Cricetulus griseus: one gene and its partners. The protein of the gene in region 1 interacts with the protein of each later gene in a pairwise test. Links are inferred from orthologs where the notes say so. Each region holds a gene or a part of one and is shown on either strand. Other genes may lie near its edges. The genes, in order: Sdcbp, Dmc1, Hnrnpc, Reep6, Nkapd1, Hsbp1 and Trim54.

Evidence for each region.
Region 2: the proteins of Sdcbp (region 1) and Dmc1 interact in binary tests that used the Homo sapiens proteins (3 or more experiments, as listed by UniProt). The two-hybrid records come from large-scale screens. The link is inferred for Cricetulus griseus from reciprocal best matches to the Homo sapiens genes SDCBP and DMC1.
Region 3: the proteins of Sdcbp (region 1) and Hnrnpc interact in binary tests that used the Homo sapiens proteins (3 or more experiments, as listed by UniProt). The two-hybrid records come from large-scale screens. The link is inferred for Cricetulus griseus from reciprocal best matches to the Homo sapiens genes SDCBP and HNRNPC.
Region 4: the proteins of Sdcbp (region 1) and Reep6 interact in binary tests that used the Homo sapiens proteins (3 or more experiments, as listed by UniProt). The two-hybrid records come from large-scale screens. The link is inferred for Cricetulus griseus from reciprocal best matches to the Homo sapiens genes SDCBP and REEP6.
Region 5: the proteins of Sdcbp (region 1) and Nkapd1 interact in binary tests that used the Homo sapiens proteins (3 or more experiments, as listed by UniProt). The two-hybrid records come from large-scale screens. The link is inferred for Cricetulus griseus from reciprocal best matches to the Homo sapiens genes SDCBP and NKAPD1.
Region 6: the proteins of Sdcbp (region 1) and Hsbp1 interact in binary tests that used the Homo sapiens proteins (3 or more experiments, as listed by UniProt). The two-hybrid records come from large-scale screens. The link is inferred for Cricetulus griseus from reciprocal best matches to the Homo sapiens genes SDCBP and HSBP1.
Region 7: the proteins of Sdcbp (region 1) and Trim54 interact in binary tests that used the Homo sapiens proteins (3 or more experiments, as listed by UniProt). The two-hybrid records come from large-scale screens. The link is inferred for Cricetulus griseus from reciprocal best matches to the Homo sapiens genes SDCBP and TRIM54.

The regions. Positions count from the first base shown.
Region 1 is NC_048595.1:154,128,407-154,132,416, forward strand, and holds the end of Sdcbp (syntenin-1), read right to left. Parts: intron 3,466-4,010; coding exon 3,294-3,465; intron 2,485-3,293; coding exon 2,393-2,484; intron 1,642-2,392; coding exon 1,587-1,641; 3' UTR 501-1,586; downstream 1-500. UniProt on the Homo sapiens protein: Multifunctional adapter protein involved in diverse array of functions including trafficking of transmembrane proteins, neuro and immunomodulation, exosome biogenesis, and tumorigenesis.
Region 2 is NC_048595.1:376,764,621-376,768,120, forward strand, and holds part of Dmc1 (meiotic recombination protein DMC1/LIM15 homolog), read right to left. Parts: intron 3,255-3,500; coding exon 3,138-3,254; intron 58-3,137; coding exon 13-57; intron 1-12. UniProt on the Homo sapiens protein: Participates in meiotic recombination, specifically in homologous strand assimilation, which is required for the resolution of meiotic double-strand breaks.
Region 3 is NW_023276807.1:207,149,203-207,152,702, forward strand, and holds part of Hnrnpc (heterogeneous nuclear ribonucleoproteins C1/C2), read right to left. Parts: intron 1,421-3,500; coding exon 1,260-1,420; intron 351-1,259; coding exon 237-350; intron 87-236; coding exon 1-86. UniProt on the Homo sapiens protein: Binds pre-mRNA and nucleates the assembly of 40S hnRNP particles. Interacts with poly-U tracts in the 3'-UTR or 5'-UTR of mRNA and modulates the stability and the level of translation of bound mRNA molecules. Single HNRNPC tetramers bind 230-240 nucleotides.
Region 4 is NC_048598.1:101,122,340-101,126,585, forward strand, and holds the start of Reep6 (receptor expression-enhancing protein 6), read left to right. Parts: upstream 1-1,446; 5' UTR 1,447-2,773; coding exon of another isoform or gene 2,774-2,878; 5' UTR 2,879-3,144; coding exon of another isoform or gene 3,145-3,324; 5' UTR 3,325-4,142; coding exon 4,143-4,246. Other genes in the region: Pcsk4 (proprotein convertase subtilisin/kexin type 4), read right to left, coding at 2,774-2,878, 3,145-3,324. UniProt on the Homo sapiens protein: Required for correct function and survival of retinal photoreceptors. Required for retinal development.
Region 5 is NC_048597.1:162,375,026-162,378,525, forward strand, and holds part of Nkapd1 (uncharacterized protein NKAPD1), read right to left. Parts: intron 2,571-3,500; coding exon 2,421-2,570; intron 1,487-2,420; coding exon 1,433-1,486; intron 166-1,432; coding exon 1-165.
Region 6 is NC_048596.1:195,967,547-195,971,829, reverse strand, and holds the start of Hsbp1 (heat shock factor-binding protein 1), read right to left. Parts: upstream 2,801-4,283; 5' UTR 2,686-2,800; coding exon 2,641-2,685; intron 2,354-2,640; coding exon 2,287-2,353; intron 1,649-2,286; coding exon 1,530-1,648; 3' UTR 1,528-1,529; intron 1-1,527. UniProt on the Homo sapiens protein: Negative regulator of the heat shock response. Negatively affects HSF1 DNA-binding activity. May have a role in the suppression of the activation of the stress response during the aging process.
Region 7 is NC_048600.1:13,268,719-13,272,922, forward strand, and holds the start of Trim54 (tripartite motif-containing protein 54), read right to left. Parts: upstream 2,801-4,204; 5' UTR 2,384-2,800; coding exon 2,216-2,383; intron 1-2,215. UniProt on the Homo sapiens protein: May bind and stabilize microtubules during myotubes formation.

The DNA of each region.
Region 1 (4,010 bases):
GGGAAATGTAAGTTTCCAACATGGGAAGCTATATAGAAACAGCAATGATTTTCTCATTTAATCTCTGAACAGCAACCACATAATTACAAATGTTCTGTACTCTTGAGAGCATTGTTACAGTGTAGTTAAGAGGAAAAATTCCCAAAGCAGACCAATCCCTGAGCTTGGGCAAGGTTAAAGATTGTTTGGATTTCATGCTCGGGGATTGGTTGTTTTTTGTGCTGAGTTGGTCAGGGGCAGAGCATGTTTCGTTAGCTCTGATTTAAGGGCCAAAGTGTGCTTCTTTCATGGGCAGAAACTTCAGAGTCAGTTTTAAGTGTCATTGAATACATGTGGGTGCTCTCTGCTTTCACTAGAGATGCAGCAGCCTCACCAGGTTCTCCCCACCTACAAGTGTACAGGCCTGGCCATCTAAGGATCTCAGACAAGTGTTAGCTCCAGGACTGTTCTCAGAGACCCCAGATGTGAGAAGAATGAAGGAATAACAGACAGACTAAAAGTTAACATTTTTATACATTTAATAGGATAGTATCAGGATATTACTAGGATAGGCATAAACCAAGAAGAAAAAAAAATTAAGATAAAGTGTCATTGTCATTTTTGTTTAGAGGACGGAATCAGAAAATAGAACAAATTAAAATGGCTAGGGAAACATTCTAAGATGACCCCAAAGTGACTAAATTACATAATATTAGGATTCAAATGCCAAATTAATATTGCCCACATAATCTACAAGTGAAAAGGCGACCCCCAAATTTGTTCTGTTTCTATAACAATGTTTGCATGAAATATATAGCGATTTATTTTTCAGAAAGCGATACGGCAACTTTTAGGCGTTTCCTTTATGCAGTGACTAGAAAATCTCCATACAACTAGGCAGCTCTGCTTAGCAGTGAGCTGCTTGGGGCTGGCAGGTACCAGCTTAATAGAGAGCTAACACTCAGGTCTCAGAAGGCAGCAATAATTCTATTTTGGCTTTTATTCTAAATGCTTGCTGTAGTTAAGGCGACAGTTGAAGCATATTAAGTGAAGGTAGTTAAAATTTAGTGACAATCATGACAGTCTTTTGCAAAGTACACACAATATATAATGCTTTTGTGGAATGAAACCAGAGTTGATTAACTGGAATTTTACACACTCATACAGAGAAAACTTAAAAGTAACTACCAAAGGCAATCATCCTCAATGTACTATGCTGATGTTCTAAAAATCCAGGTGTGCCACAGAAGTGAAGCACACGACTAGCACTGTGCTTCATCTAGGACAAAGGTGACCACTTATCACACAGCTAAGCCTACACCAGTCATCCTAACCACAATGGCTTATAAAAACATCAGGTTTCCAGTAAAGAAACGATTCTAGGAAAGTCAGTAAGTTTCACATCTGTAAAACCAGGATAAGGCTACAACTATCTTAAAATCTGCAGAAGACATCAGATAGAGTGAGGTTCCCAGCCATGATGGAAGATAGACAGGTCCCCATGCAGCATATTCTCCCTGGCTCCCGGAAAGCTTCATATGCAAAATATAGAAGTTGCCGAAGAAGAAAACTGGAAACATTCAGCTGTAATGCGTTGTTCAAAGTTTCTAAACCTCGGGAATGGTGTGATCCATCAGGCTTTTCATAATGCTTGGTGCCATCCTACAAGAGAGCCAACTCATCATATAACTCATATCTTATTTTCAAAGATGCCATTTTAACCCAAGACAACCCCAATTCCAGTGTAGCACTATTGTCTAAAGGTCTTTAAATGAGCTCAGAGCTACAGAACTGATAACTGAGTTGTCTAAGACTGTCCAGGAAAACTAAACATCTGCACCAGGGTCGACATGCTAAAGAAGGTGCAAGTCATTTACCTTAAGACTGGCAGTTTAATTAGAATAAAACAGCAAGGCTATGGAGTTAGAAGAAAAGGTGGAGAAGGAACCTACCAATGGTTAAAAAAAGAAAAAAAGACTATAAAACAGTCAAATGCTCACAACATTTTCCCTTCCGAGGGTACTTAGCTGCATTCTACCCAGAAGCCAAAATTACAAAGATTCCATTACAAAGGTTAGGTTTATGTATCTTTGAAATCTCACTTTCTATCAGGATTCTGAATGAAGGGTTTCCAAGAAACAGTACCAACTACAAAGACAGTCAGAATCACCCCTTGCTGGCCCTTGTCAGCTTGCATGGACTTTATACTTCTTGGTTCTGGGGGACAGAAAGCAAGCACCATGCACCCCTCTACCTCCTGAGACATACTGCAAATAGCAACAGCAACTCAATATCTCACAGGCAAGAAACCCCCATCATAACCACTGATTTCTAATAAGCAGAACTGCAGGCTTCAAGAAGTATTTACATTTATGTCAGGAGACAGCAAGCATAAGTAGAGCTGTCCACTTACCGTTTAATAATATGTTCAAAGATAAAAGCAGGCATGATTGTAATGGTAACTACAGTCCCAGCTGTTGACAGTATGTCTGCAATCTGAGAATCCTAGTGAAACATAACAGAATTTAATTTCACTGAAGCTTTATTTAATAAACATAAAACTGTAATTGTTAGGTAAGAGTCACACTATATTTGCTGTTGTCATGCTAGTATCTCTGGAGTCCCAATCCCTGGTATGTCTGAATTTTAGTTTTAATCTTACAGACATGTGTGTTTCAACCTGGTAGCAAAGTTGAAGGCACTGAACACAATCCTTCCCTTACCTGAAGATGGAGAGCTTGCCCCAAACACAGTCAACTGTATTCCAGAATTTATGAGTTAAAGTCTTACTTAAAACCTTGAGATCTTAAGGTAGTCTCAATTCAAAGATTTATATGCCGAGCAGGGTTTCACGTGCCTTAGACCCAGCACTGCAGAAGCAGGTACATGTGAGTTAGAGAACAGCATGGCCTACATAGTGAGTTCCTGGGCAGCCAGGGCTATGCCCATAAAAACTTTATAGATCAAAATCTATAAAAATCAAAGTATTAATATATACCAAGACTTATTCCTTTCCTGTATTTCTGAACTGAAAAATATTGGGACATTCATCCATTCACAATGTCTAAAAATGTCCCTGCCCATTTCTCCACAGAATTCTAGCTAGAGAGAGATCATAGAATCATAGTTTAGTGACCTTGGTATGGAAAAGATAATTCCAGGTAACATCCCAGAGTTACTGTGATGGCCTAAGACCATAGCTCCTACATTTATCTCCCAAGTTTCAGTGTTTGAGGGTCATCAGGAAAGTCACACCACCTCAATGTTATCTAAAATAAAATGGCTCCAAAACTAGGGTCCAGTGTGCTTCTTACCTTCAAGCCAATGACGTTCTGCCCGTTTATCTCACAGATGTGATGATCAGTGAGAAGGCCATTTCTGGCAGCAGAACTATCTTTCACTATGGATGTGATTTTTCCACTTTTAAAGATAAAACCAACATGTCCACTGCTGTCCTTATGCATAGTAATTGTCCGCTCAAAGGGCCTGTAAGAGTAAGTGCTGGGTTAGACTGAAACTTTAATTTCATACTTCAATAGACATGACATACCACAAATTGCCACATGGGTATTTTGTTACAGTAAGTGCTGTTTCTAATCATTTATTATGGCTCTTACACTATACATGGGACAGTAGCCTTGCTTAGTCTCAAAATTTGAATGACTTGCTAATCAAGATACCCTTCTGTTAAGTTGAGAAAACAGAACACACTACTTTGTGGAATTATCAATACATTTCTTATATTTTTGGTTGTGAGCCTAGCCTTTAATGGCTGAGCCATTTCTCCAGCCCATCAATACATTTCTTTACAGTCCACTATGCTTTGGAGTTACTACATTTTTCTTTACAATCCACCATACTTTTCAGTTATCATTACATTTTTCTTTACAGTCCACCATGCTTTGCATTAATGACAAGATGGCTTTGAACTAATTCATTGAATCTTTCAATACTTCTGGGAGCCGACTGACCTTAGGACATTTGACATTGAAAATGTTAGTTTTCACATCTCAATTTTGAAAATGTTATGG
Region 2 (3,500 bases), about 220 Mb from region 1:
AAAATTACTCACAATTCCATGTTTCTGTAACAGGTCAATGTCTTGAAAAAAAGATTCCTAAATGAAATAGAAAGAATGTATCTTATATCTTCATATCTAAATAAATGTTTCACATTTTGGGGAGTGACTAATACTCATTCACTAGTCATTCCATAATACTTCAGGTCCATTTCTCTAAACACTGAAGTAGGATCAATCACTTTTTTCAAACAAGTTGTTACATATTTAGAAAACAAACCAATATGGGTGCTGAGAATTAAACCCTGTTCCTCTGGAAGAGGAACTAACTGCTGAGCCATCTTTCCAGCCCCCATCTGACCTATTTTATTTAATACAAATCTTGATATCCTTTTCAGAACCAGTGTGCACAGGAAGCAGTAAGTTGTTATTAATCTGCTTTCATTTGGGGCTGGAGATATAACCAGTGGAAGAGCATTTACCTATCAGAAAGAAGTATTGGGTTGGATCTCTTCTATTGCAAAACAAACAACAAAAACTTTCATACTAGTTGCTAAGTGGCTAAACTTAGCACCCTTTGCCAAAGAAATTGTTACACATTTATATGTATGTCTTATTTCTACTTTCAGTTCCTAAACAAGAAATTTGATTTTCATGGAAAACTGAACATCATCATAACTTCCAACATTCTTATTATACCTCCTCATCTTGGAATCCTGATTCTTCCTGCACAATTTGATCCTCTTTCATGTTGAAAGGAAAATGGCAGAAAAATAATCAATTCTGGAAAATAAGAAATATTATTTAAAGTCAGGTGGTAGTGGTGGCACACGCTTTTAATCCCAGCACTCGGGAGGCAGAGGCAGGCGTATCTCTGTGAGTTCGAGGCCAGCCTGGTCTACAGAGTGAGTGCCAGGACAGCCTCCAAAGCTACAGAGAAACCCTGTCTCGAAAAACAAAACAAACAAACAAACAAACAAGTAGTTTTCCTAATTTTCTTTTTATTGCTGTGATAAAACATTGACCAAAAGTAACTTGGGGAAGAAAGGGTTTACACACCCTAGTCACAGTTCATCACTGAGGGAAGCCAAAGGAGGAACTCAAGGCAGTGACCTGGAGGCAAGATCTGAAGCACAGGTTGTGGAAAAATACTGCTTACAGACTTGTTCTCCATAGCTTGCTTGCTTTTTTCCCCTTCCTTCCTCCCTTCCCCCCCCCTTTTTTTTTCTGTTGTCATTGTTTTGAGACAGGGTTTCTCTGTGTAGCACTGGATGTCCTGGAACTCGTCTGTAGACCTGGCTGGCCTTGAACTCAGAGATCTGCCTACAGAGAGAGTTACAGGACAAACTCCAAAGCTACAGAAGGAAATCCCATCTCAAACACCCCTCAAAAACAAACAATCAAAAAAAAAAAAAAAAACCCTTGTATCATTCTTCCTTGTATCTTTCAAGTAAAAGGATTTTCATCAGGTGTTAGTGAGGTCCGCTTTTAATTCCAGCACTTGGGAGGCAGAGGCAGGTGATGTCTGTGAGTTCAAGGCCAGCCTGGTCTATAGTGAGAGTTCCAGGACAACCTCCAAAGCAATACAGAGAAACCCTGTCTCGAAAAATAAAAAAAAAAAAACAAAAAACAAAAAACAAAAAAAACAAAACAAACGGGGTGGGGGGTGGGGGGACTTTCTTTTTCTCATACCTGATAAATACCTTCTTGATTTCTGGTTGTGAATTGCTACACAGGTAAATGTATGTATCTTTTGCTTCACAAAACTATATATTCCATAGTATTTACTAGTTTCATAATTTTGTAAAAATATGGTAATACCTGTCTAAATTAGGGTTTTTATTTCTGCTATGAAACACCACGACCAAAAATCAAGTTGGGAAGGAACTTGTAGTCCATCATTGAAGGAAGTCAGGACAGGAACTCAAACAGGCTATGAAGTTGGAGGCAGGAGCTGATGCAGAGGCCATGGAGGGATGCTGCTTACAGACTTGCTCATCATGGCTTGCTCAGACTGTTTTATAGAATCTAGCACCCACCAGTCCAGGGATAGCACCACCCACAGTCGGCTGGGCCCTCAATCATCAATGAGATTGAGAAAATGAGAAAATGCCCTACAGCTGGATCTTGCAGGAACATTTTCTCAATTGAGGTTCTCTCCCTTCAGATGACTCTAGCTGGTATCAAATTGACATAAAACTAGCTGGAACAATATCCAGTGACAATTTCGTTTTGTTTTTTTTTTTTAAACCAGGGAAGCAACAGACACGATGGTGTACATTGCAATAAAATGAATAATCTTGTTCTTGCTTTATTGTTTCCTCGTTTAATATCAAAGTCAGGTGTTGAAGCCCTGGAGCCTCTGCCTCCTGAGATAGATTTTTTTTATGTATGTGTACGTGTTTTACATAGGCCATCCAAGCTGGCTTGGAACTTTTGACTCTCCTCTCCCATCCATCTCCCCAGTTCTGGGACTACAGGCACCACCATGCCCGCTCTCCACAATATGAGCGGTTAGCCCAAATTCCACAGACTATCCTTCCTGAAAAAAACAAATCAGCAAATTCCTCTCTCTCCTTTAGCTACAGGGTCTGCTAGACCCACTGGTTGGGAATTCAGTTCTGCCTTCCTCTGCCGGGATCACCGATGTGCCCACCCCGACCCTGGGATCTGAAGTAGGGCACTTAGCCTAGGTTTCGGGGGACTGTCGGGGAGCAGCAGGGAGGAGGGTTTCAGGGGACTGGGGGGGGGAGTGGCACGGGAAGGGGCGTCAGGAGACTGGGGGGAGTGGCAAGGGAAAGGTTTCAGGGGACAGGCGGGGTGTGGCAGGGGAAAGCGAAGGGGTCAGAAGCCCGTGGCCTCTCAGCAGGCGGTTCAGTCAGGCCCCTGAGGCTTACATTTTCCAGGCCCTAGTTCCCTGGTAACCCCGAGGAGGCCTTCAAGACTCAGGTCGGACTGATTTACAGCAGGCAGGGAATGCCTCAGGGCCGGAGTGAAAGGTGACAGTCACCTGGCCAAGTCCAATAATAACCAAAAATTACCACAGAAAGGGCAAGGAGAGGACGCGCTTTCTCAACGCTTAAGAGATTTCCTCAGATTTTCCCGTGCTTCTTCTTTTCGCCACTCACCCCCCACTCGAACCCACGGTCTCCCCGGGATTTTCAAGGTGAATCCCTTACGATTCCCACTCGGGCTTTCCGGTCCAGTCCGGGCCGAGGTTCTATTTCGGAGCCCGAACACCGAGGCCGACAACCCAGTCGTCGAATCTCTATGTATTTGGCGCCAAACGAGGATGTCTAGAGCACGCCCCCAATATGGGCGGGGCGAGGGATGTGGGCGGGGCAAATGTAGCACAACGTGAAGGGCGGGGCGAGAGCTCTAGTGAATGCTGCGGGGTGGGACGGGATGGGGCCTCCAGGCCTCTGAGATGGGGGGAGGACAGTAGTGGAACACGTCTCTGAGGAGAGAGTTTGGGCTTGAGACCAGAACCCGGGAGTCCCTTGGGCAAAGGGAGATGCTGAGTCAAGGAGAGAGGAGCTGAG
Region 3 (3,500 bases), on another chromosome or scaffold:
GGTCTCATCTTTTTTCACAGAGGCACTGCTCTGTTCTTCTTCAGACTTTTCATTCTTCATCTCTACTGGGGATGAGAAGGACAAGTCTGTCCAGGGGCAAGTGTTGCCCACAGGATATAGAGTTCTCATTAATCAAAGAATATAGTTTTCCAAACAAATTTAACCCCCCAACACCCCCAATATGCAAATATCTTAAAATAACCCAATTTTACTTGAAACAAGCACAAGACCATTACCTGCTTGTTTGCTCTGTTCCTTTTCAATTTTTTCTAGGCTTTCCAGAAGAGAATCCACTTTTTGTTTTATCTGAGTCAGCTCCTTCTTAATGGCCTGAAGGTCATCTCCTTTCACTGTAACAAACAAAAAGTTAGACTAGAATAAAACATAATTTACCAGTTGCTGAAAATGCCCTCCTTCCAGGGGCTAGGCTTTTGAATTGACTCTCAGCACTGCCGCAGGGGGAAATTCTTTGAGATACACGCACACACACATACTCGTGTAATGGAGACTTTTTTCTTTCCTATAATCCTTTGGAGCCTGTCCTGGAGCTCCCTCTATAGATCGGGCTGGCCTTGAACTCACAGAGATCTACTCCTCTGCCTCCTGAGTACTGGGTTTAGGCAAATGCCACCATGCCCAGCTTGGTTTATTTTTTGGCAGAAGGTTTCTCAGTACCCAATGCCATCCTCCAACTAGGAGATCCACCTGACTTTGCCTCCCAAGTGCTGGGAGAGAACAGGGTATGTGTGCCTGTTCCTGCCTCCCTAATATGGTGAATAAAGCTATCACTTTGCTGGTCCCATCATTCTTTTTGAGAATCTCTCCATGAAACAAGAACTCACTGATTTTGCATGGTTAGGTCCAGGGTTGTTCCCCTCTCGGCCTCCCCAGAGTTAGAATTCAAGGTAAGTAAGGTGTGCTCCACTTGGGATCCAAACTTATGTCCTCGCTCCTTGCAGGACCTTTACCAACTGAGCATCCCCTTGCCTCCCTCATCTCACTGTTTAAGTACACACACACACACACTATGAGTATCTCCAATTTAAAATAAACACAGGGCAGAAAAATAGCTAAGTGTCATTTTTGCACCCATGTCTCAAAACTGCAACTCCAGCTCCATGGGAATTAACATCTTCTCTGACATCAACAACTCCCCCACATACACATATGTAAAAATAATAGTAATAATAAAACATAACATTTGGAGGCAGGATGCACTGCACAAAAACACACCCTCACAAAAGATAAATAACACTTACACTTTCCAGACTTGGATGATGATCCCCGCTGTCCACTCTTTGAATTAAATCCACTTTTGCCCCTTCGAGAGGTGTTTCCAGAAACACGCTGGCGTTTAGAAGGCACCACAGCTCGAGCAATAGGAGGAGGAGGAGGAACACGTGCTGGGTAACTGTACATCCTAATGGGGAAAAAAAAATTTAAAGATTTACAATAAAGAAATCAAAATCAGGAATTAAGGAAATGTCTGGAGATCTACAAAGATGACACCAGCTAACAATCTAAGCAACAGAGGAGGCTATACCTTAAATGCCCTCCCCTGATAATGAGATTGATGACTGACTGATAGCGCTCTTCCAGCAGCTGATGGAAGTAGAAGCAGACACCCACAACTAATCACTGAACTGATCTGGAATCCAGTTGCAGTAAAGAATGAGTGATGGGCAAAGGGGTCCACACCAAGCTGGTGAAACCCACAGAAACAGCTGACCTGAACATGGGGAAGCTCTTGTTCCCCAGACTGATAGCTGGAATACCAGCATGGGACTGGTCCAGACCCCAGGAACATGGGTTTCAGTGAGGAAACCTCGGAAATCTACAGGACCTCCTGTAGTAGTTCAGTACTTATTCCTAGCATAGGTGTGGACTTTGGTAGCCCAATCCACATAGAGGGATACTCTTTGAGCATAGACACACGGGGGTCTATGTGTGAGATAGGCCTAGGCCCTATCTCAAAGGATAGGGTAGACTCTGATGACACCCTATGGATGGCCTCACCATCCAGGAGGAGCAGAAAGGATATGTGATAGGTAGGGTTTTAGTTGGGGAGGGTGGTAGGGGAGGGGGAAGGGAGCAGGAACTGGGATCTTGTTTCTAATTCAAATAAAAAAATCTGCAAAAAAAGAAAGCAAGAAAGGAAGCAAGGTTTACAACAGTGGCTTGTTTCTCTATGAGGAATATTCAACAGAATGTTATTTATAATGAACTGCCTTGCCTTTTCCAGCTCCACCATCTTAAACAATACTCCCATTTACTTTCAATTTCTGTGGGACAAGGAGTTTACTATGGCTACATCTTTTGGGTTTTAGGCTGCCTGAAAATCCCTGAAATTTATGTCGTAACACTCTGAATTAAAAAATAAATGTGGGGCTAGAGAAACTGGCTCAACAGTTAAGAGTACCAGATGCTCTTCCAGAGGTCCTGAATTCAATTCCCAGCAACCACATGGGGGCTCACAACCATCTGTTATGAGATCTGGTGCCCTCTTCTGGTGTGCAGATATACATGGAAGCAGAATGTTGTATACATAACAAATAAATAAAATCTTAAAAAAAAAAGACCTATTCCAAAAAAATAAAAAAATAAAATAAATAAAAAAAAAATGTGGTGTAGCATGCCATTAACACTGGCAGAGGCAGATAGATCTCTTTCAAGACCAACCTTGCTCTACTTACTGAGTCAGAACTACACAGTGAGACCCTGACTTGTAGGTTTAAGTTACTTACCTCCTTTATTTGGAACATTACACAAATCCACAAAGAAAAAGTTCATTTTGTACACACTTCCTACCTCCACTATTCATTAGTCATATTATAATAACTGTTCAGATCAATATTACATCACCGCACAAGTTCTGTTGGAAAGTACATTTCTAATTTGTTCCATCCATATGGCCATCCACTTATGGCTCAGAGTTAATATTCAAAGAACATGAAATTCATTCTAAAATGTTCACCTAGAATTCTCACATTATTCAATATGCTTGGTATAACTTCACATACATTTCCTATGATCACAAAGCAGAATGGTAAAACACAGAAAGATTAAGAAGGTCAATAAATAAAACCACATACAAATATTCACACACAAACATGCACAAACGCAAAAATGCTCAAAAATATCAATACTAGGGTTTTTTTTTCTTAAATATTTGTATCTGATTGCTGTGAGGAAGGTCAATACTTACAAAGCTACACAGAGAAACCCTGTCTCAAAAAAAGAAAACAGTAAGGAATGAAGAATGACTAGGGGGCACTTGGAGTTTCTGAACTGTTTTGTGTTTGCCTGGGAGATGGAGTGGGGTGGTGGTGGTGTCTATTTAGTTCTGGCTGTCTATCCTGGAGAAAACGGTAGAAATTCACCCAAGTCTGTCCCTAGCTGGTACTTAAGGCCTCTACATTCATGAAAATTCCATGCTATGGTGTTGAAGATGGCTCAGGGAATGAGAACACCCCTAGAGGACCCACATTCCAATCTCAGTA
Region 4 (4,246 bases), on another chromosome or scaffold:
TTACTTAGTCTTATTTAAGAAAATATCAAAGCACGTGTATTCCCCTCTTAAATTTCCCAAATGACTTAGTCTCTCCCTCTCTATTAATTTATGGCCCCCCCTTGTTTTTTTGGTTTTTCAAGACAGGGTTTCTCTGTGTAGCTTTGGAGCCTATCCTGGAACTAGCTCTGGAGACCAGGCTGGCCTTGAACTCACAGAGATCCGCCTGCCTCTGCCTCCGGAGTGCTGAGATTAAAGGCATGTGCCACCAACGCCCGACAATTTACCCCCCTTTTCCTTTAAGTTTATTTTGGAAGCTTAACCACTTCCACTTTGAGCCATAAAGAAGGGCTGACAGATTTGGTTTTTCGAGGCAGGGTTTCTCTGTATTGTTTTGGAGGCTGTCCTGGAACTCGCTCTGTAGACCAGGCTGGCCTCGAACTCACAGAGATCTGCCTGCCTTTGCCTCTGGAGTTTAAAGGCGTGAGCCACCACCACCCAGCTCCATGTAAAACTTGTATCCGTTTCTAGGACCCTGAAAATCTGTAGCCTTGCACCTGGCTAGAGCCAGAGAATTGCTGATTGTGTGTGTGTAGAAACGGGAGGGTGGCAGGACAGGATAGCAGAACAATAAAGAACACATGAAGAACATGTGTGTCAGGTGGTGTGTAACATCTTTTACCCCTCCTTCGTTCCTGAGAAGCATTTCACCTTTGGAACCTTGGGTAGGGGCTGGAGCAGATCTCCTAGACCTTATAACTTCTGACACTCTTCCTGGGTCAGGACAGCCCTGGCCCCATCCCCATGTCCACAACTTCCACTACCTCCTAGTGTCTGTCTCCTCGTTTTACATTTGTATATTCTCTCTCCCTTCTGTGTCTCTCCTCTGTCTTTCCTTTCTCTCTGTGTGTCTGTATGTATGCGCACCACGGCATATATGGAGGTCAAAGGACAGCTACTGGGGCTGGAGAGATGGCTCAGTGGTTAAGAGCAAAGGCCGCTCTTGCAGAGGATCAGGGTTCAATTCCCAGCATCTACATGGCAGCTCACAACTACCTAAGACAAATTCCAAGTAAATCCTGTGCCCTCTTCGGACCCCCGAGGGCTCCTGCGTGCCTGTGGTGCATCATGGGTAAGCAAGCAGGAGAGACACTAATGACACACGTTAGTCAGAAGTAACAAGTAAGTCTTTTAAAAAGAAACCATGGAGTCAGTTTTCTCCTTCCACTATGTGGATGGTGGCGAGAGCTCAGCCAGACTGAGCAACCATCTTTTTTTTTTTTTTAAAGATCTTATTTATTATGTATACAACATTCTGCTTCCATATGTATCTGCACACCAGAAGAGGGCACCAGATCTCATAAGGGATAGTTGTGAACCACCATGTGGTTGCTGGGAATTGAACTCAGGACCTCTGGAAGAACAGTCAGTGCTCTTAACCTCTGAGCCATCTCTCCAGCCCCTGAGCAACCATCTTTACCCTCTGAGCCATCTCACTGTCTTCTGAGATAGGGTCTCACACAGCCAAAAATGACCTTGAAATCCTGATCCTCCTGCCACCAATGACAGGTGTGCGTTTTCACTATCGCTTTAAGAGCACTGGGATGGAACCCAGGACTGCCTGCTTGCTGAACAAGTGCTCCACCCACTGAGCCTGAGCCCCTGTCCACCTCCCTCTTGGTCCAACATCACCAAATCTATTGCCCTGCTGGCCTCCAGCAGTCAACCTGCTCCTCACTTAGCTACAACTAACAACCAAGAAAGAGCTCATGTGTTCTCTTCCACCCCAGGGCCTTTGCAAGTGCTGTTCTGCCAGCCCAAACCAGCTCAAGTCCCCTCTCCTTACACCTCCAGCTTGGTCTGATGAGCCACACTCCTGGCTAACCTGGCTTGACCTCTCTGTCCATCTACCCCATCCATAGCCTCTCATCTCTTGTTCCTTCTCTTTACCCCATCTATTTGACTTCCTTCTTGTCAAGATTTGGCCTCTGAAAGGCACTTGGTCCCTGTGGTGGTTTGAATGAGACTGGTCCCACAGGCTCTTATATTTGAATGCTCAGTCCCCAGTTGGTTTGGGGAAGTGTGGCCTTGTTGGAGAAGGTGTGTCACTGAGAGGTTCTCTCTGCCTCGTCCTTGTGGGTGAGGGTGAAAGTTCTCAGCCACTGCCCCAGTGTGCCAGTCTGCCTGTCTGCTGCCATACTCCTCGACATGGTTGGTGGTCATGGAATCACCCTCTGACGCTGTAAGCTCCAATAAACTCTTCTTTCTGTAGGTTGCCTTGGTCATGGCGTTTTTGTGTCAGCAATAGGACAGTTACTAAGACAGTTCCTGACACACAAAGTGAGCACCTCTTCAGTGTATCTTGTAAGCCTCTATGGCTTGCACACTCACAAATCCATACCATTCTTTGACTACTGTTTAGGGGCTGTTCCCTGTGAGGACTGATCTAATGTGGATGTTTCCAAATAACACAAAGCACCATGGGCTCCACTCCTGATTCGGCTGCACAGTCACTGATTCAGGTTCTCACCTTGGGCATTGTTTTCTAGTCTGATAAAATGGACCGATTCTCTTCCCTACGTCGTATGGCTTGGAGCAGGGAAGGACCAGTGTGTGAGAACCTCTTTCCTTGAGAAGCAGGGCAGGGGCCGTCAGTATGTGGCCCCCCAAGTGCCATGTTGTGGTAGGTGTCATGCTCATACATGACGTCCCCAAGCAGGCCCCACTTGACACAATAAGAATGACTGAAGGTGGCTGGTTGGCCTTAGGAGATGGCAGCCATGGGCTCACTCACCTTGGGCTCTTTCTTCAGGCGCAGACGGTGGCCCCAGTGGGGGGTCAGGGACTGCTGAGCCACACCCCGGTGCCGTAGATGGAAATAGTGGTCGTCGGGAAAGATCTGGGAATGTGATGGACAGGGGCATCGCTGGGACCTGGCTCCTTTGATACAGTCCCAAGGATGGAGTCCAGTTTCTGCGGCATTATATACCTCAACCAGGTGCCCAGTTGAGGGTCGCAGAATCCCAAATTGAATATGGAGGGGGCACGTAGACACGTTCGTTCTTCATATCCGGGGAGGTCTTGGGGACCCCCTCCCATCTGTCCGGGTCTGAGGTCGTCCAGGTCCCCACCCATGGCCCATCCATCCAGGTCCCACCCACCCACCTGTCCCAGGTTGATGAAGCCAAATTTACGTGCCAGGCGCTCAGCCTCCTGGTAACCTTTGGTCACCCGCACGGCCCAGCTGCTGACATAGATGGGGGCCCGGGGTGAGGCCCACCCCACAGCCAGGAGGGCCAAAGCCAAAGCCAGACCCAGCCACAGCGCAGTCGGGGAGGGCCGCATAGCGGGGGGCGGGGCGGGGGGCGGGGCCTCAGGAAGCCACCCCATCCCGGACACCATAGCAACCCCGAAGCTTTCAACTCCCAAGGGGCCTTGCGGTTCCCTCGTCCCCCATCCATGAGGGGTGGGACTATCCCACATGAAGAGACATCCACACGGACCTAAGCCTTCGGGAGCCTCAGTTTCTCCACTTGTACAAGTGCAACACCTTCTGGTCCTTAGGAGCAGGTTCAGGATCACAGGGATACCCCCAACCATTTATTTGGTCCCGCCCACTTTCTTCCACGCCCCTCCTTAGAGAATCAGCCCTGCCTCTCCACATCTTCCAACCAGCATCGTTTGCTTCCAGTGTAGTCCCGCCTCCTTTATGATCAACTCCGCCTTCTCTAGTCTGTCCAATCAGCGCTGGTCTTAACCTGGCCCCACCCACCTGTTTCTCAGCTAGTCCCACCCACCCTCATCGCTCTCCGTCAATAATCTACGGCTTGTCCAATCAGTACCGAGTCACTTCCTCGTGACCAATCAACGCACCGGCAGCCTGGCGCCCCGCCCCCTCCAGCCTCCCTGTGGCCCGGCGGGCCTTAGCCCTGGCCAGAGGGCGATGCGGCGGGGGAGACGGGGCAGGCCCCACCTCCTTTGTCCGCCTTGCCCTCCCATTGGCCAGAGCCAGGGGTCGGGGGCGGAGCCAGGGCCGGGGGCCGAAAGCAGCGTGTCGGGGGCGGGGCCTGGCCGCGCGCGGGAGGCGAAGTCTGTGCGCCGTAGGCTGGGCCGGTGCGCGAGGCTGCGGGTGTGCTTGAGTGGCCTGCCGCGGGCCCACCGCCATGGACGGTCTACGCCAGCGCTTCGAGCGTTTCCTAGAGCAGAAGAACGTAGCCACCGAAGCGCTCGGGGCTCTCGAAGCCAGGACCGGTGTAGAGAAGCGGTA
Region 5 (3,500 bases), on another chromosome or scaffold:
ATGTCCACAGCTTCCTTTTTGTTTTTTTTCTGTTTTTTGTGGGACCGTTTTTTCTGCTTCTTTTTATGGGATTTCTTTGACTTCTTATGTTTTCGGGATTCCTGGGCAGATGCTTTCACCTGGGAAGATGTTTTTTCCCCATTGGTAATATCTTGCTGGTCACTACTAAGGAAAAGTAAAGACAGAACTTTTATGGAAGAAAGAAAATGTATATTTATATTTACTATTCTGCATTAAATTATTAACATCTGAACTTTAAATCAGAATTTTAAGCTCGGTATGGTGGTACACAGTTATAATCCCAGTACTCAAAAAGTAGATCTTCCAAGTTTGAGGACAGCCTGCTCTACATAGCAAGTTCTAGGCCCCCAGGACTACAAAAAGAGACTGTCTCAAAAAAACAAAAAAAAACCAAAAACAAAAAAAACAAATAGTACTGGTGAGGTTTCTATTTTATTACTCTCAAAAATGTTTCATTTCCTCATCTTTAAAATCCTAATTTGACCTAACCATACTGGTATAAACCTGTAATTCCAATGTTTAGAAGGTAGGGGCAGTAGGGCCAGGAGTTCAAGGCCACCTTAAGCTATAGAAAATCCTGTCGTCCCCTCCCACCCCCCTCCAAAAAAAAAATACACCTCCTGATCTGCTATGCTGAGTTACATATGAAATACTAAATACCATTGTGCTCCCTTATCCATAGTTTCATTATCTGATTCCTGTCACCTATGGTAAATTCCAGAAACAATTTGTAAGATTTTAATTGCATGTCATACAAATTCCTCACAGTACTACTGTCCCACCTAGGACCTGAGTCATTCCTGTGTCTAGTTACCAACCCTTTGGTCATTTACTAGCCATCTGGGTTATTAGATCCACTGTCTGGTATAGCTTATCTTATTTAACAATGACCCTAAAACACAAGCATGATGCTAACTAACAATTAGGATGTGGCAGAGAAAAGCATGAAGATATGTCCTTAAAGTGAAAAAAAAAAAAAAAAGATTTTAAAAGGTATTGTGTGTATAAGAAAGGAATAGAATATGGGAGCTAGACAGACAAGACGATATAAAATATCCAAGGTTTCAAGTACCTTTAAACATGTTCACTACAGATGATAGTGAACAATTAGTTTCTAAAGCTCTCAGGCTTGCAGAATACCAAACTTCAATCAGGAAAGGTAAATAAGAATTGCTTCCCAACAAGATTTCATTATGTCCCAGGCTGGCTTCAAACTCCCGGACTCAAGCAATCCTCCTGCCTCAGGCTCCTGAGCAGCTGGGACTACAGCCATATACTACCATTCCAGGTTCTAGTTATATTTTCAATGACAAATAAATCTTTTGTAAATATTAGGAACTCTACTTATGGCGTAATTTTGCATTCATCTTAGGTGTTTGGTTTTGTTTCTCTAGTAAGTGTATTTACCTACCTGTCTGTTTCAAACTCTTCAGGATACAACTCTTTATATCCACTGTGACCCCATCTGTAAAATGACATCATAATACATATATTTTTATGAAGCAATGCATATCATTTTTGGAAATTAAAACACAATTAGATTTTGGACTGCATGAATACACACATACAGAGAACAAAGGAAAAGGGGGCAAACTAAAAACACACCTCAGTAACTGCTCTATGTTCTATACTATCATCTCAGACACAGGATGTTGTTCATTGAAAGGTTGTATCTGTTCTTTAAGAGACACTAAAGAACTCTCCTCAGCGGTGAAGTCCTTTTCCCAAACTACTTTATAATGTTATCTACACTGGGACTTTCTAAAGATAGTTACTGAGAAGTGATTCATATGACAAGAGAGTTGTCCTTTTAAAGTGCAGAGCCTATGGCCCAAGGCAACCATTAATCTTTCTGTCTCTATGGATTATCCATTCTGGACATACCACATAACAAAATCTTAAGAGTATGGCTTTTGTAAAGTTTTCAAGGTTATGCATATAGACTTAGTACAGATCCCTTTTACCACTAAGTTCTATTCCACTATATGGAAAGCCTACATTCTGTTTATGCATTCATCAGTCACAGCCATTTGGATTTTCACTTCTTAGTCATTATAAATACTGCTGCTATGCACACTCACAAATGTTTATGGGGTCAATCTGTTTTGAAGAATTATTTATACTTATGTGTAAGACTGTCTTGTCTGCCTGTATATATGTGCATCACATGCATGTATGATGCCCAAAGAGCTCAGAAGAGGGTGTCAAATCCCCTGAAATTGGAGTTACGGACACTTATAAGTTGCCTTGTAGGTACTGGGAACAAAACATGGGTCCCCTGCAAGAGCATCAAGTGTTCTTAACCACTAAGCCATTACTCCAACCCTAGGACAATAATATCAAGAAATACATATTCTTGGGCCAAATATCACTAGGGGTAATAAGAAATAGTCACAAACCTGTCTGGCATGTTGGATTCATAATCATATAACTTCTTGTTCCAGGATTTAGCCTTAAGAAAATCATCATCTAGGGCCCCAGAAATTTCATTCTTTGTCCTCCAGTAGTCTCTGTGACTTTCTTCATCAAAACCATCACTTCTCATCCGACTATAAATGAAAAAAAGACAAACGTTTAGAATTAAAAGCAATCTGTGATGCCACTTTATAGAGCATTATAAACAAAACTCATGGAACATGCTGACACTACCTTTGCACCACATAACATTGATATCAGTCATACTCAGCCAGTAATACATCAAAGTCTACATACTCCATGGACACATTCCCTTGAAATTCCTTTTTCTTCTAATGATTTCTCTAGGTAGCTTTAAAAATCAGGTTATGACCCATCTCACATACCTCCTTCCTGTGCTTAAGGGCACATGAGGCTCTAGAGATATTCCTAATTATTCATGCATCCTACACCTCCCATCGAGCAGTCAAGCCTGAATATATATGGAACTTATTTTGTAAACCAGGTTGGCCTTGAACTCAGAGATCCACCTGCTTCTGCCTCCTAAGTACTGGGATTAATTTGGGTGTGATTACCTAGTCACACCCAAATTATTACAAAGGAACTATGAAAGCCCATTGACTTGGACGAAGAGAGTGAGTAAATGTGGCTTTTAGTAAGAAGAGTTGGCTCAGTGGTTAAGAATACTTGTTGGTCTTGCAGAGGATGCTAATTCAAATCCCAGAACCATGTCAGGAGCTCACAACTGCCTATTAACTCCAACTTCAGGGCATCTAATGATCTCTTCTGACCCCTGCAGACACCAACAGACACAGACACACATAATGAATAAAATAAATACTTTTTTAAAAAAAGGTCTAATGCCGGTTGTGGTGGCACACACTGGTAGTATTTGCTGAAGGAGGCAGAGGCAGGAAGATCTCTGTGAGTTCAAGGCCAGCCTGGTCTCCAGAGGGAGTGCCAAGATAGGCTCCAAAGCTACACAGAGAAAACCTGTCTCGAAAAACCAAAAAAGTCTAATAGAAAGACTAAAGAAAACAGTATGACTGACCGAATTAATAAGA
Region 6 (4,283 bases), on another chromosome or scaffold:
AGGGTGTTGGATCCTCTGGAGGTGGAATTGCAGACAGTGGTGAGTGAGGTCTCATGTGACTGCTGGGAACTGAACTTGGGTCTTCCACAGGGCATACGTTGCTTTTAACACCTGAGCCATCTCTCCAGACCCTTATTTGGACATCTTTATTCAAAATTCTTTGAATCCACTTCCTATTTTCATTCCTGTCTTTGTGTTTCCCTGTCAGTTGAACATCTTCAATCATACAATCTTTCAGTTCTTGACTCATGGGGGTTTTCTGTCACAACATAGCACAATCCCCTAGAGCTTCCAAGATCCACTCGACACTTTGCAGCTCTTCTCTAAATAGGACTGAAGACGACACAGCACATACCAAGCACTGATGCGCATCTCATAGTTAAACAACCCAATGTATTGTTTATGTATCTTGACCCTCCCAACCCCCATCTAGTCTCCTGGAATTCAGAACAACCTATTTCAGTCACTGAAAAGCTGGTTCAAGGCCAAGCCCAGAAATAACCTTTAATCCCAGAATCTAGGAGGCAGAGGCAGAAGCAGGTGGGTCTCTATGAACCTGAGGCCATCCTGGTCTATACAGTAAGTTCCAGGCCAGGCAGCCAGGGTTTCATAGCATGTCAAAATAAAAAAAATAAAAACTGAGGGCCCTTCCTCCACAAACACAAGTGAAGCTACAAAGAAATTCACTACATTAAATGGTTTTGTGCTTGTCATCTGATATCTGAAATGATTCAGTGGAAATTTAACTCAGTCTAGAGTAAAGGAGTCGAGTCCATGATAAAAGTCACAAACGTCTCTAGAATTTATAATAGATATTTATGTAAGTGACCTGAATTCTCTGCTGTTTGTAAAAGAAAACAATGAAATAATCTTCCAGTGGCCAGGGTAGGGCACCAAAACACATGCCCAGAAATGACATCACCTGGTGGTCTTCAGTTGCCAGCTCACCAGCCAGAGACATGTCCAAGTTCCAGGTGTGTCCTATGCAGGGCCCAGGATATGAGTGAGGACCGTCATAACTTACAATTAAAACATCAAAGGACTATAGATGGCTCAGCGGTTAAGAGCACTTTTTCTTCTCGGAAAGGACCTAGGTTTGATTCCGAGTACCCGCAAGGTGGCAGGTCTTGTCTGTAACTCCAGTCCCAAGGGATATGATGCTTTCTTTTGGTCTCCCATAGCATTAGGTTTGCATGAGGTGAATATGCAAGCAAAACACTCATATATAAATATTTAAATGACTTCTGTCTTTTATCAGCAATTTCACTCTTCTTTAAGTGTGAACATTATTATGTGTATAGCCTGGACATGCCCAGCAGTGATTCAGTTTTAAGTAATGAAACTTGGAAATGTAAATTCTACCTAAGGAATTAGTTTGGCATGAGCAGTTTCAAAACATGGACTTTCTAGGTGGGGTGCAGAGATACTGGCTGGGAAAAGACACAGGTGAAATCTATCAACGACATCAACCTTACACTGATGGCCACTTTGTGTGCTTTGCGTCAGCAAACTGGTGCCCTCCCTTACCTTCAACTTTTCTGTGCAGTAGCAATCTTGTTTTCCCCTTCCAGTTCTTCCACACCAGCCTGGGTCATGAGGTCAGCGATATTTTTCTCCAGATCGTCAATGCGACTGCTCATGTCATCGAGTGGCACAGTTAAGGAGCCCACACACCAATACCCCACTCTGTCCCCATCCTCCAGGCCCCTGAAACCTGGCTTAAGCAGCAGCTGCTTTCCCTTTCTTCTGGCTACAGTGACCGCCTGGCGGTCTGAGAGGTACAGGGGACCCAGGTAAGTTACTTTCCTAAACCCCGGTTTCCTCATTCATTAATCCCAGAGGACTCTATCCCATGGGTAAAGAGAGGAAGAGTGCTCAGTGAGCACTCCCAGCCGACATAGCCTAGCTCCTTTACTGGTGTTCTGGAGGACCCCCAACAGGGAACTTGGGTAGCTTGGCCACGTCTCTGGCTCTTGGCGCAGTCCTCAGGAACACAGTATAGCCAAGATCAGTGAAGAAATTTCCAAGTGCGGCTGGAGAGATAGCTCAGGGTTATGAGCATTTGAGGCTCTTGCAGAGGGCCTGAGTGTGGTTCCCAGTACCCACACCCGGCAGCTCACAACCACCTGTAACTCCAGCTACAGGGGATCCAATGCCTTTAGTCTCTTCACTCACTCACGCGCACCCATAATATACATAATTAAAAATAATGACTACCTGAAGTCGGTTTGCAAACCTCCCGCTTATCCCCACCATTAAGAAGCTGCCTCCGAAGCAAAAGGATATTCCTTCCAATGATCTGATCCGACATGATCTGAAACTTGTCTTGCATCTGCTGCAAGAGCGTCTCCACCTACGAGAAACCAGAACAAGTCCGCCGATTCCAGCTTATTCCGAGACCATTTTCCTGGGAGGAAGGGGAGGCCAGGGGGTAGGGGAGTCCCGGCAGGTGGGCGAGACCTTTAGCGAGGCCCTGCCAGGTCGGGTTTGGTATTCCCGCGGGTCAGGTCGTGAGGGTCCGTGCCGGGGCCGCAGGAGGGCGAGCCCCGCAGGTGCGCGGGCCGAGGCCGCTGGCCACACCCCACGCCAGGGCCGAGAGCGGCCGCGGAGTGTCGGAACCCAGGTGAGCCTGACGCTTACCACCAAGGTGATGTCCTGCATGGTCTTGGGGTCCGTCTCGGCCATCTCCCCGGTGCCCAGCTTGGCGGCGATGTCTCGGAACCGTCACCTACACTTCGGTTTCTTGGCGCAGACGCCCCCCAAGCCACCAGTTCTCGCGACAACACAGTCACGGGACCGCGAGGCATTGTGGGCGTTGTAGTTCCCGTCACGTACCGGAAGGACCTGGGAAACTTCAGAGCGTCCTGAGGACAGGCTCCGCCTCCCCGGTTTTAGCTCTGCCTCCATCCCCGCCCCAGCTCTACCCTGAATGCGGCAGGGAGCGGAAGCGGAGAGAAAACCGGAAGTGGGCAAAGGTTAACGGGGATTAACGTTTTTTTTTTTTTTTTTCCCTGTGGATGTAGTCAGGCCTTGCGGGTGAAGGCGCTTGCCACCAAATCTGATTCTGGAGTTCGATCTTGCATGTTGGAAGAAGAGCCCCAGCTTTCACAAATTGACCTCTGCCCAGCACACATGTCCTGTGACATACACATATACATATAATTTACAAAATAAATAAATGTAATTTTAAAAAATCCCTTAGAGTTGGTAAGAGTGCACTAACTGGATGTCTGCTCTTCACCAAGACCTATTCTTGAAGACATGGGCCAACAAGTATGTGAGGCCCGATATCCTACTTACTTGGGAGGGATCCTGAGTTCAAGGTGTGACTGAGAAAACTTACTGAGACTCTGTCTCAGAAACAAAACAAAACAAAGCAAAGACCTAACAAGCAGAAAGAGGGTGGAATGGAATGTATTCAGTGGCAAAACACTTGCCTAGCACAAAGAGACCAGCACTGTAGAAACAAAACAAAACAAGAAAGCTCAGGCTACCACCCCCATCCTGGATTGGCACATAACACAGTATACCCAGTTTGCCAGGTATTACTGTTGAAGGGACCGCCCCCCCCCCCCCCATTTGGGCAGCCATGACAGTAATATGTGCTCGCTATGACCTTGTCTTAGTCACTAGAGGTCAGACGCCTGCCTTGTGACAAGGAACCAATCAGAAGTTAGCTGGTGGTGCTGTGCTTTACGACCCTGGGTGTACTTTACGGGCAAGCACACAGCAATGACGTACAAAGCATAGCAACCATCCTGGGAGGGCCTATGGGCCATAACAACCAGTTGGCCAATCAACACAGGGCAAGCCCTCCAAGCCTGGAGGGCACACCAATCCTGAGCCTGTGCGTACCCCTAGACACTCCCCTTACGCTGCCTTACAAGATCTCTCGGGAGCCCCTAGGAGCTGTCTTTGCTAGCCATCCGCCATGGCGGGTGGGTGAAAGACTGGAGCTAACACGGGGTTAGCTCGTTAAAACAATAAAGCCTCATGCAGTTTGCAGCAAGCTCTCGAATCCGCCTGGTGATTGGGGTGATCGTGGTCGTGGCCTGGGACCCCGGATACCTGAGTTTTCCGGGGGTCTAACACTGTGATGGAAACTAACCCGGCTTCTTTCAACCATATGGCTGCCTAATGCTAAGTGGTGCAGGTCTCCATTTGTGTACAAGAGGGGGCAGTGTCAGGGGTGAACCGGGACGTTTGTGTCTCAGGCAGCTCTGAGTTGGGAGGGCCCTGGTTCAAATACTACTTCCCAGGTTCCATAGAGAGATGTGCTGAGA
Region 7 (4,204 bases), on another chromosome or scaffold:
CAAGAAAGCCTGCTATGCCAAGGAACCTAAAAGGCTATGTTCTCAGTGAAGTTAAGACCCACTTGTGTCAAGACTGGAGAGACAGCCTGGCCATTTGGAACACATGCTGCTCTTTCAGAGCATCAGAGTTTGGTTCCCAGCTGCCACATCACAAACACTGCAGCTCCAGCTCCAGGGGATCTGACACCCTTTTCTGGCTTCTGTGCGCACACACACACACACATACACACACACACTAATAAGAAATATTTTTTTAAAAATAGCTTGTGCTGGGGCTGGAGAGATGGCTCAGAGGTTAGGAGTACTGGCTGCTCTTCCAGAGGTCCTGAGTTCAATTCCCAGCAACCACATGGTGGCTCACAGCCATCTATAATGAAATCTGGTTCCCTCTTCTGGTGTGTGTATACATAATAAATCTTTAAAAAAATAGCTTGTGTTGGGGCTTGTGGTGTAGAGCAATGGTAGAATGCATGTTTAACACACACAATGCCCTGGATTAACCATAGCACCAAAGAGAGGAGGGAAAAAGGTGTGAAAATGTCTGCTCAACTCATTCCCTCATAGTCTGTGAAAAGCAGGAATAATCTTTTTGAGATTTATTTTATGTGTATGTATTTTGCCTGCATGCATAATGCCCATGAGGGGAGGGTTCAGAAGGGAGCATCAGGTCCCCTGGAACTGGAGTTAGACAGTTGTAAGCTATCATGTGGATGCTGGGAACGGAAACTGAGTTGTTTGGGAGAGCAACAAGAGTTCTTAACCACTGAGCCATCTCTCCAGCCCTACCACTTTTTTATTTAATTTTTGAGACTTGGTCTTACTATACATAGCCAGTGGATATACTGGTATAATTGTTCCATAGACCAGGCTAGCCTCTAGTTTGTGGTGGTTACATAGACCAAGCTACCTTCTATTTGTGGTGGTTATGTAGACCAGGCTAGCCACTAGTTTGTGGGGGTTACATAGACCAGACTAGTCTCTAGTTTGTGGTGGTTACATACACCAGGCTAGCCTCTAGTTTGTGGGAGTTATGTATAACAGGCTAGTCTCTAGTTGTGGTGGTCCTCTTAGGTGTTTCAACCACAGGCATGTGTCACACAGCCTGGCTCCTGGCTGGAATCTTATTCCTGATGCTTCTGTCACAGATTTGCACCAAGCCACCCGGATCTTGCAGTTTTTACTTCATCTGCAAGGTCTCATGTCTGTACACGTGAGTCCTGTCCCTTCGCTCTCCCTGACCTCTGATCTAGTTTACAGCCTACTGGAACCTCTATGAATGATACAGGGTAGGAAAGCAAGCCTATGAATTTATAAAGAATTATGATGTATGCATTTATTTAGTTGGTTAGACAGGGTCTCACATAGCCCAAGCTGGCCTTAAACTCATTCTCCGGCTGCCACCTCCCAAGGGCTGGGATTGCAGCCATGCATCACCATGCCCAGCTTTTTTGTTTTTATTTTTGAAATGTGTGGACAGAATGATATCAGTGACTTAACTTAGCTATGCCCGGCCTCATGACCACAGCTACACAGGCATTTCTGGGAAGTACAATTCTGCTTCTGCCTTCTCTCTGTCCATAAATCACCTGAGTATCAGTTGGTCCATGGGCCTCTTCACCAGGTCAGGAGGGCTCACAGGTGTGAAACTGGGGAAAACTTCTGCTTCCCTGGCCCACTGTGTCTAAGCAGCTCCCTCATGGAGAGAGGAGCTCTATCTCAAATATACACAGCTCGGCTGGCATCATAGGCTTTCTCACTGGTTTGTCACAAATTTTTAATTCTAGGGTTTAATTTTATGTTTTGGGGATCAAGTTCAGGTTGTCAGCTTTGGTAGCAAGTGTCTTCACTGTCTTGCTGGCTCTATTATTTTTTTAATACCTCATATTTCATTGATCTCATCTATGGTGTGTAAAGAAAGTAAATAAATAAAACCACAAAGCCTCAAAGTAAATGAAATCTAGTAAGGCTCCCACAAAGTCCAGGCAAGACCACCCTCCTTGCCAGTTTCTGCCAGTCTCCCTGGGGTCCTCCTTCTGACGCTGTGCACACAGGCTGTGCTTGCCAGGCTCTGGGCAACTGCTGACTCGTGCTTCCTCTGGGATCCCACAGCCTCCAACTCTCCTGCCACTGAGTTGGGGCAGCGTCACCATCTCCCGCCTGTGGGACCTGCCACCCAGTCCCTTCCTAGACCTGACCCAGCTGTCCCCAAGCCCACCTGGAAGACGTCATTGGCACACTTGCGGCACAGGTTGTGCTGGCAGGGCAGGATCACCACGGGCTTGGAGAACATCTCCAGGCAGATGGGGCAGATGAGCTGCTTCTCCAGGTTGTCCATGTTGTGTGCATCCCCTAGCAGCGGCTTGAAACCCACGGTGAAGTTCATCCCTTGGCGCTCTAGTGCCTGCCTTGGCCCTGTTTCTGGCCTTCTCTCGCTGCCTGTGCACACTTCTTGTAAACTTTAGGCTGTCTGTGGATTCTTAGGATCCCTGATCTTGCTCCCTCTTGAAAGGGTGATGTTTCCTGTTTCTCTCCCTCTAACGGCCCCTCTCACCCTGGCTATTTCCAGACGCTTCTGTCTGCACTCCCTGTTCAGAGCCGTCTCCACAAACTTGTCCCTTTAGCTCCCCCTGAGAAATTCTCTTGCTCCCCCAAACCACCCTCGTGCTCACTCTACAGGCAGTACTCTTTGTCCCTTGCTCGCTAGAGAGGTTAATATTACTGTGGGGGTAGGGAGACAAGGGGCATTTGTGTGACATTCCAGTTCCCAATTTAGCTCATGTAAGGCGAGCCACAGCTGTCCCGGACTGAGTGACCCTGACTCACTCAGCTGGTGGCTTTCTTGAGCAAGAAGAGCAGCAGGGGTGTCACTGCTTTCAGTGGGTGGTGGGTCAGTGTGGGGCTCACTTGTCACTGGGAAGGTTCCTGCAACCTCTGCTCTCCGTGTTCTGGCTTGAGACCTTCTTCCTAACAGAAACTAGCACATGGGAGAGACAGCACACATGGCTCAGGGTGGGAAGGATGGTCTGGACGGATCTACAGACTTCTGTCTCTCCCTTTTATACTGAGCATTGATCCTGACCCTCCTCCTGGAGACTCAGGATTCAGAAGTGGAACTCCAGACCCTACAAAAGAGAACTTCTTGTCCCATATGTCTGGTCCATATTTGTTCTTGTTCAGCCTTAAAAAAACAACTACATTTATTTACTTTAGGGAGGGGTAGGTATGACATGGAGCATATGTGGAGGTCACAGGTCACTGACAGGAGTCACTTCTTTTTCTTCAGTGTGGGGGTTACAGAAATCAAACTGAGGTCATCAGAATTGGTGACCAATGCCTTTACCTATTGAGCAATCTAGCCACAAACTTCCCTCTCCCTTATTAAAGACAGGCTCTCAGTAGATTAGGTTAACCTTGAATTCACTGTCATCAAGGATGACCTTGAACTCCTGATCCTCTTGACTCTACATCCAAAGTGCTAGGATTAGGGGAGAACACCATTATTCCCAGTTTACGAGGTTCTGGGCGTCAACTCGGGGTCTTTTGTGTACTAGAGAAGCACTGTGCTTACTGAACTACATCGCCCTTGGATGGCCAGTTATATCATCCTAGGAGAGCAGCTGAAGAGGCAAGAGATGGCTGCTGTGCCAGCCCAGGCCTGCCTTATGATCAGGGCATGAGAGTGTGTGATTCTGGTCTACCACTGAAGCCATTTCAGGGACGCTAAATTTGCTTAGAATCTGAGACAGTAGTGGACTGGAGATGTCTCAATGGTTAAGACAGTCTCATGAGGAGTGGAGTTCAGATCCCCAACACTCACAACCACCCTTTACCACAACTCCGAGTGACTCAGCGCCCTCTTCTGGCTTCCACAGGCATGCACAGACAGATGTGCAGACCCATTTACACAGACACACACATGCAGACACACACACACACACACACACACACACACACACACACACACACACACACATATAAAAAAGGAAAAGTGTGAGAACAGATGTGGCTGGAAACATTCCGAATGCTGCAGTTGTCTGGAACACCAGTGAACCAGTCTGCAGAGCAGTCTCAGGACACTGACAGAGGCACCACCACTGGGCATCTTTGACCCCTGGCTCCATTGTGATCAACTCTACCGACCATGGCAGCCTCATCCCAGGCCTGAGCAATAATCATTGATCTTTTTCTCTATCCCCCACACAAC